5 linked regions of the Oryzias latipes genome follow. The protein of the gene in region 1 purifies or fractionates together with the protein of each later gene. This does not show direct contact. Links are inferred from orthologs where the notes say so. Each region holds a gene or a part of one and is shown in the gene's direction. Other genes may lie near its edges.

Region 1 (4,026 bases):
TGGTCCTGCACAACCAAAACTTTCATGGTTTATTTTTCATGGAAACCAGGTGAATTTGTGTGTCTGTTTCTGAATAAAGTGTGTGCACTGCAATTTGAAAAAAAAAAGACTCTGTTCATTAATCTTGAAGAAAAAAAGTCATTTTCTCTTGAAGAAAGGAGCCAAACAAAATGAGAAAAAGCTACTGTAATTGAAATTCTGCAGCTGATAGAATAGATTCAGCCGGTGACACCTCATTTCATTAAAAGCTAAGGACACACGGCTCCAGACAGGAGCAAAGGGTGGTTCCTCTTTGTCTCCCTACAGAGTTGTGATGACCTTGATGTGATGGAGACACATAGACACTCACTCTCTGGCAGAAAACAGCATTAAAATAATCAATGGGTGGGAAAATGCAATTAGGGAGAGTGCACTCTCAGAGCAGGATGGAGAGCAGACTAAAAGAGAAATAAAAAGCATGCACAGGGGTGGAATGATGTTGGTAGAAAATAAGAATGTGTTTATTAATAAGCACATTATTTACAATGGTGGAGGCAGGAAATATGTGTTTTAAGCCTGTAAAATAATACTTTTTTTGTACATTATAGAGTTATTACTTCTAAGAATCATGTGTTTCACTACAGTACATTTGGACTTGTTTAAATTTACAGTCATAACTAACACACTAGGAATAAGGTGAATACATTGCAACAGCAATGTAAGACCTGTTTTGGTTATGTTATTTGCATTTTTAATTAAAAATAAAGAAAACTGTACAACTTTATCGTTTGTTTACATTTTAATATTCAAGCCAGCAGTCAGAGTAGTCAATTAGTCATCATTTCTTTTTTTACTCTTCTACCGTGAAAAAGGTCTGGCTATTGTGAAGCAGTATCATTATCAAATTTGATGACGTCAACGTTGCCGGTAACTCAGATGACTTCCAGGCTGGCTGTTCTCTTGAAATACCAACCCTCCCTCTGAAATAAGCGAAACACACGGGCTTCCGTATAGTTCCGCGGGAGGGAGGGTTTGCTTTGAGGAACAGCTTCGTTGCGACAGCGGTAAACAGAGAAGGCTCAACCAAACTTGCTGCTACATCCCGCCTTATCTCCATATAAAGTCGTTTATAGTTGGTATAAAAAAAATTAGCGACTCTCATTGGCGGAATGAAATGTCAACCAAGTAGATTTGGAAGTTTGTTTGGCTGGAAAGACTGCAGTTTAGTTGATGGGCTGGGCGGGGGGGTACTTGTTTCTGAAAGTGGTTTCTCGTGGTGCGAAGATTACGGTTTGCGTTACACTATATTTGGGAGCACTTTTCCTCGTTTATGACGCTCAATTTCTACTTTTTCTTCGTTAAAAAGTTGTCGCTGACGTCTTTGTGAGCTTGTGTTTTTTGTGGGAAAGAGACCAAACTGCTCCGGATCCAACGAAGGTGGTAAGTCGTGACTCAGCTGTTAACATATTATTACACTAAAAAAAAAAAAAAAAAAACAAAGAAAAATTCAAAATATTGCCATTGTATTAGTTAGTTTTCTCCAAGGATGTCGTGCTAAAGCGAAGCTAGAGCTACAGCCATAACTTAGCTACAGTCAAATGTAATATAATTCTGTGAATGCATCATGCCTAAAGTTAGTGACAGACAGACAGACATCGTGTGCCAGGGGTCTTTCTTACGTAAGTCTTTAAACTAAAGCCATCACACATTTCAATGTTAGTTGCTGAGTGACGTTAGTTAGTAATAATATCACGACCAGGACTCAAAAGTGATGACGTTTTTGTGTTTCTTTTTCGACTATCCGGTGGTTGGTGCCTTAAATTTAAATAATTTACTTGTATGGAGGTCGTTGTTTATTGTTTTTTTCCTTAGTTGTCCCGCCCATCATATTTATGAAGAAAAGTACTGTTGTTCATTCGTAGCACAAATAAGATCTGCAGGTATATTTAAGCCCCCAATAGTTCTGAAAACGTACATAGAATTACATATACATGTATAGTATAAAGCATAAATATGGCTGCATGACAATTTTCTACATAAATATCATAAAATAGCATGCATTGTTGTCCCTGAGCCATCTCGCAGTCCCAGGCTTTGTAAAAGGGAAACTTGGCATGGTGACTGTGCTCTGATGTTTAATAAGGAAGTACTTTCCTGGAATATCACTGACCTTATGTAAGGATTGTGCATTACCAGTAAGTAACCACACAGAAAAGAAAAAAAAACACTACAGCAGTTCTCTTTCTGACTTTCTTATTAATCATTCTGATGATTTCTCAAATAGCAGTGACCTGCATGGAGCTTTGAGAAAGGAAAGAAAACGATTAATCAGTGACTGTAGTGAATTTGTGCGATTTTACATACCTAGATTTCTCAACATGATGCAGCAATGTCTACTTCATATTTCATTAAAATACAAAGATCAAACAGAAAGTTTCAGTGTTGTTGTTGTTGTTGTTGTTTTACTTTTTAGTACAAGGCTTTTCTGAAAATTTGTGATAAAAGTACTCCTGTATTTTTTCATGTAAGGAGGTTCGTTACAAGATTTTGCTTGTATTGCGATTATATATTATTATATATAATTTGCTGCAAAATAACATTAAAATAGTGATAGTACCCTAAAATGAGTTTCCTGTGTTGTGTCAGATAAGCTCTGAATACTCCAGTTTCAGTTTTGCTGTTAGAATAAATAGCATAAAACATTTTTTGTTTGTCCAAATGATATTTATTGCAATGAAAGTTCATACCCTGTATATTATTACAGCTTTGATCTGTATTCTCTGGGCAGGAAGAGCATTATTTTGGCTATTGAGAAGGTCATATGTATGAGTTTATTTTTTGTTTTGCTTTTTTCAAATACAGTGCAAGCATCTAGTTCACATTAGCAGAATCAACAATACAGACACTGTTGTGAGAAAGCTTGTGTAACAATAGTCAAAGCATTGTGTGAGCTTTCGGACAGAAACTGGAGCCTGTAACCTAATATGGGTGGTACAGGACATGTCTTTCTGTTAAATGCCTTGAATGGGAGCTCAATTTGCAAACAAGGAAGCAGTAGCCATCTTTTATCAGCTGAGTCAGCCAGCAGGATGTGATCGATAAATTCAAAAACAACAAAAAGTCCCAGATCGGCAGGTGGTTAATGCTTAAAACACACGCTCGGATTTGAAGGGAAATCCTAATCTGACAGTCGCCTATCGCTTCAGAGGAAATGGTTTGTCTGGGTTTTGATCCATGCCCTCTGCATCTGAGAGGAAGAAGTTTGCTTTGTCGGTGTTTCATGCAAAAGTTGCCGGGGCAATTCTTTGACCAGAGATAAGCTTTTCAATGCTTTACAGCTGTTCACTCTGACCTATATTTTTTAGGGGAAGGCACAGTTTCAGAGAACAGGAAATGACTTTTGGCAACGCGAGGCCTCAGCATTGGCCTGTTGTCGTTTTCAGAGAAATCTGATGTTCAACCATTTCCCATTGGTGCAGTCTGATGAAGAACATTGAGCGCGGTTTTCTAAAGTATCATTTTCTGTTGATTTTCTGCCTGTTTTGTGTTGATAAAGCAGTTTCATCTCTGGCAGATTTGAGGCAGTGCTTGTCAGGATGGCTCAGTGGAACCAGTTACAGCAGCTGGAGACCAGGTATCTGGAGCAGCTCTACCACTTGTACAGCGACAGCTTTCCAATGGAGCTACGCCAGTTTCTTGCACCCTGGATTGAAAGTCAAGACTGGTAAGAAATGATTCAAGTCTTTGTTTAAAAAGTCTGCTTTTATCTGCTAGATAAAGCTGACCTTGATCTTTCAGGGCTTTTAGGTTTGCAGCTATGAAGTCATAGCTCATATAAACACTTTCTCTCACATTTTATGTTACTGCAATGCACTTTACCATGTTCAATTTGAACTTTTTGTGTTGTGATCACACACAAAAATTATAGTCTTTAAATATTTTCACAAAGTTGGGATTTCTTTTCAATAAACCTGGGAATTTTGTGTTGTTGGAATCTGGAAATCGATATGTTTTTGTGTTCCCCCCACTATTTTCTAAGGGCCTATG
Region 2 (4,068 bases), on another chromosome or scaffold:
CAATGTTAAAGGCAATGTGGAGCAGCAGTGCATTGAATTAAGATGCTTTTGGGCTTTTCTTTCTGCCTCCAGTGTGTTTCCTTTATGTTTATATTTTCCGTTTCAGCTTTTAGTTTCACTGCTTCTGTAACAGTGACTTGATGACGATTGTATTACACCTCTCCACCAGAACCTGAAGCACCGGACTTTGGGCTCTGAAATTCTGACACCATAAACCCTAATCAACCAAACGATCTGTTCCTCCTGTAACTTCCTCTTTTTATCATTTAAGTTTTACAGCAAAAATCACAGCTTGCAGTATTGTTGCCATAGCTTTGATTATCACCGAGGGAGAATAGAACAACAGCCTTGTCACATAGGATTGTTAATCATAACCTTTGCATGTACTAAACTATAGCACAGTTCTTTTTAGGGTATTTTAGTTTCCTTAGACTGTGGTAACAGTGTAATTTTTCATTTTTAAGTAAAACTGTGCTTAGATGTTACATGTTTACCCTTCCCTTAGTCTATGCTAGTGTCCAGTTTGCAAAATAATCTGTATGGTTTTGCACATCATTCTGCAAAGTGAGGCCTGAAATCTTTCTGGGGTTTACCTGCAAACGTTCTCCGGATTATGCGGCGCAACCCCGGCTTTTGATTTTTCTAGACAGATCCATCGATCCCTTTTCGTGATACTTGAGAGAACATTAACTTTATTTCAGGAGCAGCAGGAATTAATCTGCTAATGTATATCAATTAAAGAGGGACTCAAAAGTCCTTTTTCTTGTGGTGTCCCAAATGCAGACTGGAGTTGTTCTTTGTGGGTTTCCCTAAATAATATATAAACTGGCAAACAAATTTGCTGTAACATGAGTACCCTGCAGTCCCCCTCTTTCTTCCTCTTACCAGCTAGGTGTACAAGCTTACCCCCCCCTTTTCAGTTTTTGTTACCTTGATACACTGTAGTGATGATTACACATTGTGCTCACGATCCTTCTGTTTAAACATAGTTTTTTTTCCTTCCTTTTTTTTCATTTGGTTTTGCAGCATTCCTTGTTAGCAAACGTGGTTTCAAATCTAAAACTATTGAAGGAAAAAAATAAAATGCGGCTTTGCCTGAGAACAAGTTTTTTGGGAAAGGCTGCAGGATGGGTTATCTTCAAGAAAATAAATGGTGAAACCCTGAGTGACTGCGTGTGTGTGCTCTGTTGGTGGAGAGGCGCCTGCGTCTGAAGTTCGGTTCAAATCGGTGACGGCGCCTGCTGATTGGCCAGAGAGACAGTTTGTTCGCATGCGCAGTTTCGTGGTGCATTTGGAAACTGTCAAAAAATTGTTTATCTTCTGTTGTTTGTACTTCCAAAAGTAAGATGTACCCAAAATCAGAAATATTTTTAGTATATTTCGTATTTTAAATAATTTTTGCATAGGTTTGTGCTGCTAAAATTACGCGTGCTTCCGTGTCTCTATCCGCAGCTTGTATTTAGGAGGGATTTATTCTAAGTGTCCCTGAAGGCAGCACCGGTAGGAACAGGAAAAGGGAAGCTCAGACGGACACTTTCCTTCTGAAGTGACGGTGAGTCTGAAACAAATAATTTCCTTACGAAAACATTGTTTACGCCATCACATCTAACAGGCGAACAAGACAAAAAACATTTCCGAGCTGACACTGAAGTAACATGATAGCTTTGCTAGCAGTGCTAAGTTAAAAGGATTTGAACTTGTTTTGGTAATTGCGAGCACAAACATTCCTGATGCTAGACTAGTGTTTTTAAAATGAGCTAAAAGTAAAGCTAGGCACGACGTGTTCACGTCCATTTGAACCGCGGCGCCAACTTTGTCCCAGTTTCCACGCACGGATCATGTTGAGCAGACTGTCCGGACTGAGGTGCTGGGACGGGGTGGCAGCTGGCATCGAGGCCGCTATTGTTCCTGCTCTGGCGGCTGTAACAGGAGCAGAGACGGTCCTCCTGATCCCCACACAACACGATGATGAGAGCCAGCAGAAAAGCTCAGAGGCCAAACCTTTAGAAACAAGACATTCAATTTCATTTAGCAAATAAATAGTAGAGCTCTCACATTTCCCTTTTGAAGGATTGAGCTCCATCTAGTCAATGTTTTTTTTTTTAATTATTTCTCTTTGAGTAATGACTGATAATGGCTGACAAATTAATCGAATGGGTTATGATAAGATTTACATTTCAATACATATTTTTCTCGCTGCTCTTTTTACCTTCTCATTTGGGTCTTCATCATTTATATTTCTCAGATTGCGCTTGTTTAGATTAAAATAAATATATTCCTTTATTTTAGGAATTTCCTGGAGATTTTAACTGTCCAGCCCAAAATGAAAAACAATTCCCTGTAGTTTGTATGTTGTTTTATTGAAATTGGACTGAAGGCATTTTAGAAAGTCTAGATCAGTGGTTTAGAACCAGCAGCTCTAGAGCCTCTAGTTCAACTCATTGATAAACAGTTGAAGGACAGTACGTATCACAAGTCAAACTAACGTATGGACAGATTTTTGAGCGCCACATATTAAAAAAAAATCAATTGGAGGTCAGTAAGCAGTACTGGAATAAATAATTTACTGCTGACATGACACTACCTACGACTAAATTAGCTGCATTGAGATGATCCTTATAGTACATGGAGGCTTTTATTTTGAAAGAAAGTATTGGGAACCTCTGTTTAAAGTTAACTCAAAGAAACGGCTATTTCCTCTGTGTTTTGTGTTCTTTTCTATTTATCATAATGACAACATAAATACAAACCTGTGTCTTATTTTTCCAAAGGGTGAATGAAGTAAGACCTTGTGGCTCCTGCTTGATAGTGGTCAGTAAGAAATCAACCAGAATTATTTAAAAATTTTTGGTTGAATGAGTTTCAATTTTTACAAGTAAAGGGACTAAAAAGTCTTTATTGCATTACCCTTCTTGATGGTCTAAAATACTTTATTTTTATTTTATTTTCAGATAATCCGATGACATAAAAAGTGTCATGGTGCTTCAAAATAAAAGAATTAATCATATGTTTGCTTTGATGCTTTATTTCCGTTGTGCGATGCGCTGTTTTCTTTCCGTTCTCCTGACTTTCCAGACTTCCCTTCCAGGCCTGCAGTCCTAATCCAGGCCTCCCGTCTCTGTCATGGACAGCCTGGAGGAGGACCTGACCTGCTCGGTGTGCTACCAGTTGTTCTCCGACCCGCGGGTCCTCCCGTGCTCGCACACCTTCTGCCAACCTTGCCTGGAGAACCTGCTGCAGGTGTCCACCAACTATTCCATATGGCGCCCGCTCCGCCTACCAATCAAATGCCCCAACTGTCGCAGCGTGGTGGAGCTGCCCCCGGCGGGCGTGGACGCCCTGCCCAGCAACGTCTCCCTGCGGGCCATCATTGAAAAGGTGTGGAGGAGTTTTGTGCCTCGGTGGGACGTTTCAATTTTAACGTTCTTTTTCTGTTTTGGGGGCTATAAGTACCAGCGAGATGAGGAGCCACGCCCCCCGTCCTGCCAGGAGCACCCCAGACAGCCCCTCAACATGTACTGCATCCAGGATCGCCAGCTGATCTGCGGGCTGTGTCTGACCGTCGGGCAGCACCACGGCCACCCCATAGACGACCTGCAGGCCGCTTTCGCCAGGGAGAAGGCCACTCCCCAGCAGCTGGCCGAGCTCTCCGAGCACAGATGGGCTGAGGTGGGCGGGGCTTTCATGGCGGAGTGGTTAGATCTGCAAGATTATGGCAAAATGTATCCAAAACATTCAACATTTTGGGGAAAAAGCTTGAAATAATCCAAAATGCTGATGAATTTCTGACTGACAGGCTCCCGCGCGAACCTGTCAGTCAGAAATTCATCAGCATTTTGGATTTTTTCATAACAAAAGCTAGAATAGAGACAGTTTGAACGTGCGGTTGTGTGAATTTTAAGGTTTGTGAGCTGGGGGAGCAGCTGGAGCAGGAAAAAACCCGATGCGAGGGTTTGCTGAGACAGGACCGGGACGACGTGACCCAGTTTTTTCACTCCCTGGCGTTGGTAATGGCCAAAAAGAAAGAGGCTTACCTGGAGGTTCTGGACAAAGCTGCTGCTGAGGTGT
Region 3 (4,243 bases), on another chromosome or scaffold:
TGTGTAATCCACATTTGCCTCGACTCGCACATTTTCTCATTGCAGACCAAGAGAGGATAAACAGGAAACCACAGAACGTCTCTACAATCGCTTTTAATCGAAACAGGAAAAAAAACATGAGTGACAGTATTTTCTTGTCTGCTACGTGGGGAAGCATTTGGAGATTTGGCAAAAAAAATGAGCCCCGCTAAGCTCTTGAGGTTAAAACGGCACAGACGGACCCTTCCTGTGAGTTTGAATGTGGAAGTCGCTGAGCTCTACGTGTGTTTATCACTTCAAGCCCGTGTTCTGTGGTGGACTAGAAGCTGATTCAAGACAAAAGAAAAAATTTTGCTTTCATTCATTTTTCAACAAAAAATGCATATAAATTTACATCAAAGTCTGCTGACCTGTTAAGACTTCCCTTATTAAGTCAATAAAGTTCATTGTGTCTATAAGATTAACTGACTTATTGGGTTATGTCAGGTATGTGTAAAAACACAAACCGTGTCTGATAAAAAATAACCCAAGAAGTCAGTTACCTTATTAAGGATTTTCCTCCTAAGTAATAACCTGCAACATAACCACGGTTTGTGTATACTGTATATATGTCATGTTTGGCAGCTGTCTGTAGGTTATATCTGAATCCACCCCATCTTTAATTACATCCAGAGCTTCCGGCAGCTTCCAGCAAAACCTTATTGAGTCCCCAATCTCACTCTGCTGTCCAGCATCTTTGACTGATAATCCCTTGAATCGGAGGAGATAATGAAAAAGACTCCACACAGAGACCCTCCAAGTAATTCCCCTATAGCAATCTTCAGGTTGATGCATTTCCAGTCCACAGGCCTATTGCTTTGTACTCTCAAGCTTGCTGTTTCTGCAGCAGCTCTAAATGAGTCAAGGAAAAGTTTTTTTTTCTCTGTCGAATGATACCTTTTATTTTCATTTTTACAGAATTGTGTCTTTGAATTTTAGGAGCAGATTACAACACAAATAGAAAACATACTTTATAGTAACTTTCCATTTATTTTTGTAAGGCAAATGTTAACTTTGCATTGTTTGTGTTGATCCATCCATGTGTCTGACAAGGAATAGTGACAGACTACTCAAAACAAAAGATGTTTCCACTATAAAAGCACATAAATAGCATAAATAAGGTAAATTAAAAAAAATTGCAAAAGGCCTTAAAAGGTAGAATTTGTATAAAAAACATAAGATGTAAACAATTACACATTTTTTGTATGTTTAGATACAATTTAAAAATCTTGTATCAATTATTCCCTGGAACATACATACCTTAACCTATTTGCCCTAAAATTGCATTACTTTTAATAAGTCACGCGCCATGCAGGCAGCAAAAATGTGTGCAATTTTAAGCAGCAGGTGATTTTAGCTTGCAGCGCGCGCCCCCGTTGGTGGAAAATAAGGACACGTGATTGCGCGTTCCCGGGAGGCAGCAGGAGGAGTCAACGATCCTTCGCGAGGCAACATTGTCTTAGCAAGAAGCGCGTCTCCTGCGTGGCACATTTTCCTTAACCCTACGGAAAGTATACCGAATAGCCCGATTTGAGCCAAAGAGAGTTTGATTTATCCAACAAAGGATATCTGCCTCGAACTCTTATGCAACCCACTTGAGAGGCAACGGATTAACATTGAGGGATTGTGGTTCATTTTCTGACGCGCCCGGATACAGCTTCACACCGATAGAGAGGCTAAACTCAAGTCCTTTCGTCCTGACATGGACACAGGATTTGTACCCGAAAAGAAAAGGTAACGTCACAGTTTGCTAACGCCGCTACTCGTCTGCTTTTCGTTTTAAACATTTCTAAACATGTTTTTCTTTTGTTAGAACTTTAATATTCACTTACGTTTACTACTCTCTACGGTCCAAAATTTCTAGCTTACTGCCAGTTTGGTGTGTTTGTTGGACTTCATACGAATGTCATCGCTGCTAGTAGTGTCGTTAGCAAAAATGCTAACATAGCTAGCTGTCGGAAATGGTGTTATATTGAAAGGTCGGCGTCAACCTGTCTATTTACACTAAATCTTTATATTGAAATAATTTAATGTGCTGGAATTTTTAAAATGTAGTTTATTTACGTCATTAAAACCGTTCTCTGCGTTTCCCTCCATCATCATGTGCTTTTTGTTCGGAAACTTCTTTAGATCCCAGCAGATGTGGTCGATTTTCTAAATCTTAATAATTAATAATACTTCGATTAATATTTGCAGTTTTTATACATCTAGTTACATTTGAGTAGATCAGTGGATTTATGTGGTTTAATAGTATTGACTGGTCAGTGAACACCTGCTGCTCACGTGTGACTTGTGGCCTGAAGTTCCTCCTTGTCTGCTTAAGTTTTAGTCGTTTTGAATTTGAGACTAAAGATTCATTTTAAAACTCTTGTTTTAGCCTTTTGTTTTGCTGAAAGTTGCTTTTTAAAAACCCATTTTAGAAAAAATTTGTTTCACCAAATGCCTTTGGTATTATATTATTATTGCTTTCCAAAAAATAATTAGATTTAGAGTAACACTCAACCATAATAATAATAGCAACAATAGTAATAATGATGTAAGATATAAAGGTTGTACAAGTGTCGTGCAACAGAGAAACTTTAAAGTTTCAGTTAATTTCGTTACTTTTAAGGTTAGGCAGCCATGTTTATTATTTGAAAGTTGTAGTTTTTTTACACAAAATTAACAATCATTCTATAATAAAATGTACAATTCAGTGAATAGAAATTATTGATAAAAACAACTCATTTGTAAACTGAACTACCAGTTTATCAAAGCTGATGCAATGAAGGGTAATCACATTTTACTAAATTGAATGATGTCTGGATTTTAATACATTGACAAAGTAGGATATTTATGATAAAATAATTGTGTTCTTTACTCTATTACAATTGATCTGACATTTTGGTTTAAAATATTAATCAAAATATTTGTTGACATTTTTTATAGACATAATACATATTAATTTTTAGATTTTACATATTATTTTATAACTTTTGTAATGTAAGTTTCTCATCTTAAAACAGCCATGTAACTTTGAACATTTAGTATACAGTATTTTGCATGAAGCAGAAATGTAATAAAGAAATGTATGTTCAACAGGAAAAAGTAAAAAGAAAAAGGTTTCCTCCCAGCAAGACATATTTTCTGACTTCCCCCCCCCCATAACTTTAATTCCCTGATGTACCACTTAATAACAAAAAATTTTTACCTACAAAAGCTCATAATGATTATGATTCAGCTGCTGGTGAAAAATATGAACATAGTGAATAGTAGTAAAAATTTGTGATGAAAAAACCCTTATAGTTCAGAAAGAAAACTTTATTTTTTTACACTGGTCAAGCACAAAGAGTGGCTAAAAGTTGAAAACTAAGTACATATCCTACTGCATCTGTCTGCCTAAACAGCTAAATGTGTGGTGGTTTTAGAGCTTTGTTTAGATCTAGATAATGGGGTCATCATTTAAACTGGAAATAAACACGTGTTCAGTCTTGGCCATTGTGGCAGTTTATTCTGATTTAGTTCTTTCAGACCTCCGTAAATTGTTTTGCTATAATTTCTGTCTCATCTCTTAATCACAGGGTCTTGACGTCAATGGGAGTGGCTAAAAGTGTGTAGGAATTCACTGAGTGGCGATGGGTGCTTCCTGTGAGGCATTCAAGGAGCAGACTAGTTAGAACTAGAAACAGATTACCTGGATTATATAGAAGGACATGTTTCTGTTTTTTGCCAAAAATATAACTTTATGGCTGTTTCCTGAATTGAATTAAATTAAAGTTGAAATTAGGATTTTTGTATAATTACCTACTGTGACTATGTTGGGGGTTTTAACCACTGGGAAGTGCAGACTTAGAGGTCAGAGATGGATGTTATGTCATAACAGAAATCTTAAGTGAGAGGAACTCTTGTGAGCTGTTTAACTTTTTGATCCCTCATAAATATGCCAAAAGGCTAACGAAGATTGTTTCTTTGTCTTTTGAGTTGTTTTTTTTGTTTTTTTTGGTGTTAAAGCTGCAAAGATCAACGGGTTATGGGCCCAGAAGCAACTAAAAAGAAATCTTAGAAAAAAAAATATGATTGATGATTTTATTATACATGAAAATTTGTGGCGATTATCATGCTAACGTCGGGATAAATTCACAAGAATGCTCCATCACTTATATTTGATGTTAATAAAAGCAAGTTTGAGCAATGTCAAAACTTGCTTTTTGACCCAATAGTGAAGCTAAAGAGCAGCAGGCGCTCA
Region 4 (3,521 bases), on another chromosome or scaffold:
CTCAAACAGGTCTGGGAGTCTCACGCCGCCCCCCCCGAGGGGTTTCCGTGGAAACAATAGAATAAACAGCTGGATTGGTTCCACGTGAGAGAAGCTTGGGTTTATGTCTGCGTTAATGCAGAGTGTTTGTCCTTTTCCTGCCTCCGTTTGTTTAAAGAAAAACATTCAAATTCAACAAAAAAAACCTATAAACTTTAGAAAGTAGATGTATTTACATTTAAATGGATGGAAAGAAGGCATTCCTGCACACCTTCCCTGTGGCGGGACATTTGGTTTGCATGTTAACACCGTGTGTCGACATGGATCAGAGGATTCTTTCCTGTCGTTGACACTCGTCTGAAGAAACCAGCCAATTATCTTTCAAATAAATATATAAAAGTCTGTAAACACCAAGTTTCTGTTCACCGTTTGCATGAAACATGTCTATAATCTCTTCCTGTCTGTTCCGTAATGTCTTCATGTTCTAATGTGGCGCCGTCTTGACCTTCAGGAGCGACCTTTGCACTAAATGTTTTCTGCTGTGGTCTGCAGCCGCTCAACACGACGCGCATCAACGCAGCGGAGATCGAAAGCCGCGTCCGTGAGCTCAGCAAGCTGGCCGAGGCCACGGACAAGGTGAAGCAGGGCTTCTGGGAGGAGTTTGAGGTGAGTGGTCTGAGAAAGAGGAGCAACCTGCTTTTACTCTGAAGGCACAGGGAGCGTGCTTTTACTCTGAAATCCCACCGTAACCTCAGCGGCGGCAGCAGCACGTTTAACGGTCAGAATCATGAAGGATCTTTCTGATGTGCTTGATGAGTGTTTGTACTGGAACTCAAAAGACATTCCTCCAACGTTTAGGCTGAATCTGAATTCATCCCCTACCCCGACATTTATCCCTCCAAGACGGTTATGGAAAATCCGGACATGACTACCACTCCATGACATCATCAACGGTCGCCGGTCTCCCCCGCTGGCGTGTAGCTGCCATAATACAGTGGTTTATAACTTTAAAACGTTGTCATGGAAGCCAATACTTACATTTAGTCATGAACCTCTGTGCTTCAGAGCACACCCGCCTAAAGAAAAGCCTTTTTCCTGGCGTGCCAGCGAGACGCGGACCCCCCCCACCGGCAGAGGAATACCCAGCCGTGGGTCACTGCGGCTCCTCCTCAAAGAAACACTTTCAGACACCCCTACAGCTCCAAACGTCCCTGCAATGTCAGCAGTCTGGGGAGCCAGAGGGGAAGTCCTCATCATGTCAGAAGACTTTTATTTTGAAAGCAGATGGAGCCGGTTTCCTGTGTTTTTTTCCAGAAGTTCAGCTTCAATCACCTGAAGAAGAAGAAGTGTAGTTTTGGCTTTAGGGGCAGCAGTCTTTGTGTTATTCTAACAGATCAATAACCATGAGGAGTGATTGCTGTGCAGAAATGTCACTTCATCATTTTCTGAATTTACTTTTAAAAAAAACAAAGTATTTGGGAAAAAACTACACTCAAAAAAGGGATTCAAACCCTCTTTCATGTAACAACACAAGTAAATGCCGTTTGTTTTATTTAAATATATTTATTTTAAAAATATGTATCTATATTTAATTGACCTAACATAAAATGTATTAATAGTTTCACCTATAAACTCCAGTATTGAATAAATAAATTCATAATTAGGGGGCATGCTGTGCACATGTGCAGACTGCACCTTCTGCAAAATCATTTCTTCTGTGATTCTATTCTTTAATTGGTTGGATGCTGTTTTCCTCTTTCTCTTTATTTATTCTTCTTATAGTATCTTCCGCCGTTTTACGGCTACAATTTTTCACCTATTTTAACCATTCAACTATTAAAACGTTCAGCTCTTTCGTCTAATGCCTGCCATGACTTTTGGTCCTTCAAATCCTTTGAACTTTTGTTCGTGTTTTTCCACGTAAAAAAGGTACTGTGGCTTGGAATGGATTCAACTGGGTTTCTCCCAGTAAGATCAAAGACGACAAACCTCATTTATGTAGAAAATGATTCTGTCTTTATAGTGTTGGATGCCTGAGGCCACAGGAGAGTCGGCTCAGTGGATCAGTCTGTCTGCATGTGGAGGTTCTACCTTCCAGAATAGTGTCACACCATGTTTTTTGCTTTGTCTTCTTGATAAAATTGAGTTCGACTAACTCGATTATATTTCATTACATGGAGGAATTTTTTTGATTTGGTGCGACTCATATTTATTGGATGGAAATCCTGCCCACAATTAAATTGAGTTCATCCAATTTTTTTGAGTGTATAGACGTGTACAGATATTTGGAATAACGTCCTCAATAAACTACAGTTGTTGAAAAAGCGGCTATGATGAATAAAATAGAATAATAGAATTTGTGTTTACATGAACGTGCAGCTTCACGTTTGTGTCGGCGTTTTCTGCCAAACGCCGCTAAAGCTGTGTCCAGAAGCAGATCTGAACCTGGAGTTTCCTCTTTTCTCTGCATGCAGACGTTGCAGCAGCAGGAGTGTAAACTGCTGTACAGCCGCAAAGAGGGACAGAGGGCGGAGAACAAGAACAAGAACCGCTACAAGAACATCCTGCCCTGTGAGAGCCCCCGGCGCCGCCGCCACTCCAGGCCGCTCGACCCCGCCCTCTTCTCATCTGCCGTTTGTGTTTGCAGTCGACCACACGCGGGTGGTGCTGAACGACGGGGACCCCAACGAGCCCGGCTCGGACTACATCAACGCCAACATCATCATGGTGAGCCTCCCTCTCGCCGTCCGGCTCTGCGGGTCCGTTTGCGCTCGGGTTTGTGCAGCTTCTGGTTCTGCCGGTTTGCAGCCGGAGCTGGACGCCAAGTGCAACAGCCACAAGCTGAAGAAGAGCTACATCGCCACTCAGGGCTGCCTGCAGAACACCATCAGTGACTTCTGGAGGATGGTGTTTCAGGAGAACTCGCGGGTCATCGTCATGACAACCAAAGAGGTGGAACGAGGAAAGGTGAGGGCCGCCGACAAGTCTTCCATACATTTATCGCTTCTTTTTAGCAAAATCTTTTGGAGGCTTTCAGCTTTTTTTGACCAATGTGATCTGACCGTTTTCCTTTCTTCCCCTTTGAATTCCTTTGTGGAATATATCAATATATATAAGTATAATATCTATATAAAACTGAGCATATACAGTACATTCACAGCTTCTCATTCAGTGTGTCCAAACTTTTGGTCTGTACCGTAAATATGCTTTTTTCATTCTAAAAACTCCTTTTTGTATTAAACTTCTTTCTAATCATTGAAGGGTTTTAGATAATCTGAGTTTGTTTGACTGAATCCAAACAAATGTCTGACTCCAGGGGCCTGTTTCAGAAAGGAGGTTAAGTGTAAACTCTGAGTGCGTTAACCCTGAAATCAGGGAAACCCTGGGTTTTCCGTTTCAGAATGGGAGGTTTGTTAAACCAGAGAAAGCAGAGTAAGTCAAACCCGTTTCTGAAAGAGAGGTAACTTTTACTCGGAGTCAGTATCCATGGTTACTTATGCTGTGAACCTAACCTGGTCGGGAGCAGGTTTTATTCTCTAAAC
Region 5 (2,435 bases), on another chromosome or scaffold:
TTTGAGGTCGGTAAACTTCCACAGCTTCCTGTCTGTTCAGTTGAAGTGATTTGTGGTTGAAGATTTTTTTTTCTCTCTGTGTTTGCAGGCGTCGGGATTTTGCTACGTGAACGACATCGTCATCAGCATCCTGGAGCTTCTCAAGTGAGGCGGCGCTCCTCTGCACCTCCTCCGGCAGTTCCCGCCTTTTCTAAGTGTGTGTGTGTGTCGCAGGTACCACCCCCGAGTTCTGTACATCGACATCGACATTCACCACGGAGACGGCGTCCAGGAGGCCTTTTACCTGACGGACAGAGTCATGACCGTGTCCTTCCACAAGTATGGGAACTACTTCTTCCCGGGAACGGGTGACATGTACGAGGTGGGGGCCGAGAGCGGACGCTACTACTGCCTCAACGTCCCCCTGCGAGACGGCATCGACGACCAGAGTGAGGGCCGAGGTCTGCGCAGTCAGAGCCGTCTGCTGTGAGCGTGCAGTCACGGCTGTGTGTGTTGCAGGTTACCGGCAGCTGTTCCAGCCGGTCATCAAGCAGGTGGTGGATTACTACCAGCCCACCTGCATCGTCCTGCAGGTCAGCCGCCGCCGCCGTTTGTCCCATTGTGTTGTCTGCGGGTCGTTTTGAGAGCGAGGCTGTTTGTTTGCAGTGTGGGGCCGATTCCCTGGGCTGCGACAGACTGGGCTGCTTCAACCTTAGCATACGGGGACACGGGTGAGACTTTTACTCCGCGTCACGGAGGGTGGGGGCGGCGTTTCCGCGTGGTCAGCAGGATGACGGTGCTTCCTGTTTCAGGGAGTGCGTGGAGTTCGTGAAGAGTTTTAAGATTCCTCTGCTGGTGCTCGGAGGAGGAGGGTACACTGTGAGGAACGTGGCTCGCTGCTGGTTAGTGTTCCTTCAACCAATAGGTGTTACCATAGCAACCTGTGACGGATATTCAGGGTTTGTGTAACATCTGCTTTGTGGACGGCAGGACCTATGAGACATCTCTGCTGCTGGAGGAATCCATCAGCGACGAGCTGCCGTACAGCGGTGAGACGCTCCACTTCCTGTTACTGTTACACTGATCGAATTATCCAGTTTTACCGCCATCTGCTGGAAGGTCAGATCCGTTACCGCCGGTGAAGTCAGGAAAATTCAAATCAAAAGGGAGAATTTTCCAAGAAAGTCTGTTTGAGACTGACTGTGAGACTGTTTGTGTGACAGAATGCAGACGTCACTACCAAATCTGAGTCCTGATTGGACAAATTGATCTGGCTTCACTTTCAACATGCGTTCAATGGCTGCTCATTTGACGCTAGAAATGGTGGACGCAGAAGCCCAAAGCGCAATTTTACACAGACGTCAGTGGAAGTGATGGCTTGAACGGGTGTTACAGAGCTTAACTCTTGAGCTATCATATGACCCCCACCCTTACTTTGACGTGTTCTCCCCACCATGACAAAGGTGGATAAAGGTGGAAAGATTTCATGTAATCCATGGACACCAGTGAAGATCACAAATCATTAAAGAAAAAAGGTTCAGAGCACTGTCTGGTGCAGAGGTAGAGGTAGGCACAGAGGGCCGCATTCCTGCATGTTTTCCAACATACCCTGCTCTGGCATGTTCTGATTAGCTGGACACACCTGAACCAGGTAATCAGCCATGAGTTGGGCAAGAATGTCTGGAAATCATGCAAACACACCGGCCCTCGAGGCCTGGAATTGCCCACCCCTGGTCTAATGGGTCTAGATGACCCAACTCCCAATGTTAACGTGCCTAGGACAGCACAAGGGTTACCATGTCAGGGCTCGACATAGCCATTTGTCCGCTGGCCCGGTCCTGTTTTTCGAGCAGTGCGGACCACAAGACGTTATTTTTCACTTGTCCGCTCGGGCCACTAAAATATCTAACGGTTAATATATTTTTCACCTTTTTCAATAAAGTATATTTTGCGAAAACGTGTAGATTTACCTCGTCTTTATAATTCACTTTTTCTGCTAGTCCTGTGTTCAGACTTCAAGGGTTTCTATGGGAAACCTTTGATCACTCCTCTCCCGCCTGCGGGCGCGGCTGTCGCTGCCGAGCACCACGCCGCACGCGCTCACTCAATTTTTTTTTTCAAACTTTATTGAATGTAACAATTCAATACTAAACAATGTTAAACAGCAACAACGAAGGAACAAGCCAGTGGGTTATTATTACATTTTAGGCAGATATATTTAAACTGACACACATATCAGCGCGCCCCCTGGTGGTTTTTCACCGCGATGATCATAAATCCAACACCGTCACTGAAGAGAGACTGAAGCATGTCAGAGATGTGGAAGACATGGCAGGAATAGATAGGAATATGTTAGATGGAGTGACGGGTGGAATTAGTGCTATGGACAGCAAGATATTTAATGAAGGCATTGAAGATGAAACTGTATCCACTAAGCTTTAAGCTGAATGTCAAAG

What was found.
Region 2: the proteins of stat3 (region 1) and trim59 purify together in Homo sapiens (affinity purification with western blotting; 4 studies listed by BioGRID). This does not show direct contact. The link is inferred for Oryzias latipes from reciprocal best matches to the Homo sapiens genes STAT3 and TRIM59.
Region 3: the proteins of stat3 (region 1) and hif1a purify together in Homo sapiens (affinity purification with western blotting; 4 studies listed by BioGRID). This does not show direct contact. The link is inferred for Oryzias latipes from reciprocal best matches to the Homo sapiens genes STAT3 and HIF1A.
Region 4: the proteins of stat3 (region 1) and ptpn11 purify together in Homo sapiens (affinity purification with western blotting; 3 studies listed by BioGRID). This does not show direct contact. The link is inferred for Oryzias latipes from reciprocal best matches to the Homo sapiens genes STAT3 and PTPN11.
Region 5: the proteins of stat3 (region 1) and hdac3 purify together in Homo sapiens (affinity purification with western blotting; 4 studies listed by BioGRID). This does not show direct contact. The link is inferred for Oryzias latipes from reciprocal best matches to the Homo sapiens genes STAT3 and HDAC3.

What each region holds. Positions count from the first base shown.
Region 1 is NC_019866.2:6,345,269-6,349,294, reverse strand, and holds the start of stat3 (signal transducer and activator of transcription 3), read left to right. Parts: upstream 1-1,220; 5' UTR 1,221-1,419; intron 1,420-3,553; 5' UTR 3,554-3,575; coding exon 3,576-3,703; intron 3,704-4,018; coding exon 4,019-4,026. UniProt on the Homo sapiens protein: Signal transducer and transcription activator that mediates cellular responses to interleukins, KITLG/SCF, LEP and other growth factors. Once activated, recruits coactivators, such as NCOA1 or MED1, to the promoter region of the target gene.
Region 2 is NC_019871.2:13,509,642-13,513,709, reverse strand, and holds the start of trim59 (tripartite motif-containing protein 59), read left to right. Parts: upstream 1-1,268; 5' UTR 1,269-3,123; coding exon 3,124-3,378; intron 3,379-3,450; coding exon 3,451-3,669; intron 3,670-3,902; coding exon 3,903-4,068. UniProt on the Homo sapiens protein: E3 ubiquitin ligase involved in different processes such as development and immune response. Serves as a negative regulator for innate immune signaling pathways by suppressing RLR-induced activation of IRF3/7 and NF-kappa-B via interaction with adapter ECSIT.
Region 3 is NC_019880.2:11,968,840-11,973,082, reverse strand, and holds the start of hif1a (hypoxia-inducible factor 1-alpha), read left to right. Parts: upstream 1-1,436; 5' UTR 1,437-1,720; coding exon 1,721-1,752; intron 1,753-4,243.
Region 4 is NC_019870.2:1,412,427-1,415,947, reverse strand, and holds part of ptpn11 (tyrosine-protein phosphatase non-receptor type 11), read left to right. Parts: coding exon 1-9; intron 10-531; coding exon 532-645; intron 646-2,453; coding exon 2,454-2,550; intron 2,551-2,626; coding exon 2,627-2,706; intron 2,707-2,787; coding exon 2,788-2,946; intron 2,947-3,521. UniProt on the Homo sapiens protein: Acts downstream of various receptor and cytoplasmic protein tyrosine kinases to participate in the signal transduction from the cell surface to the nucleus. Positively regulates MAPK signal transduction pathway. Dephosphorylates GAB1, ARHGAP35 and EGFR.
Region 5 is NC_019868.2:25,320,127-25,322,561, reverse strand, and holds part of hdac3 (histone deacetylase 3), read left to right. Parts: coding exon 1-6; intron 7-88; coding exon 89-144; intron 145-213; coding exon 214-428; intron 429-498; coding exon 499-572; intron 573-645; coding exon 646-710; intron 711-791; coding exon 792-881; intron 882-969; coding exon 970-1,028; intron 1,029-2,435. UniProt on the Homo sapiens protein: Histone deacetylase that catalyzes the deacetylation of lysine residues on the N-terminal part of the core histones (H2A, H2B, H3 and H4), and some other non-histone substrates.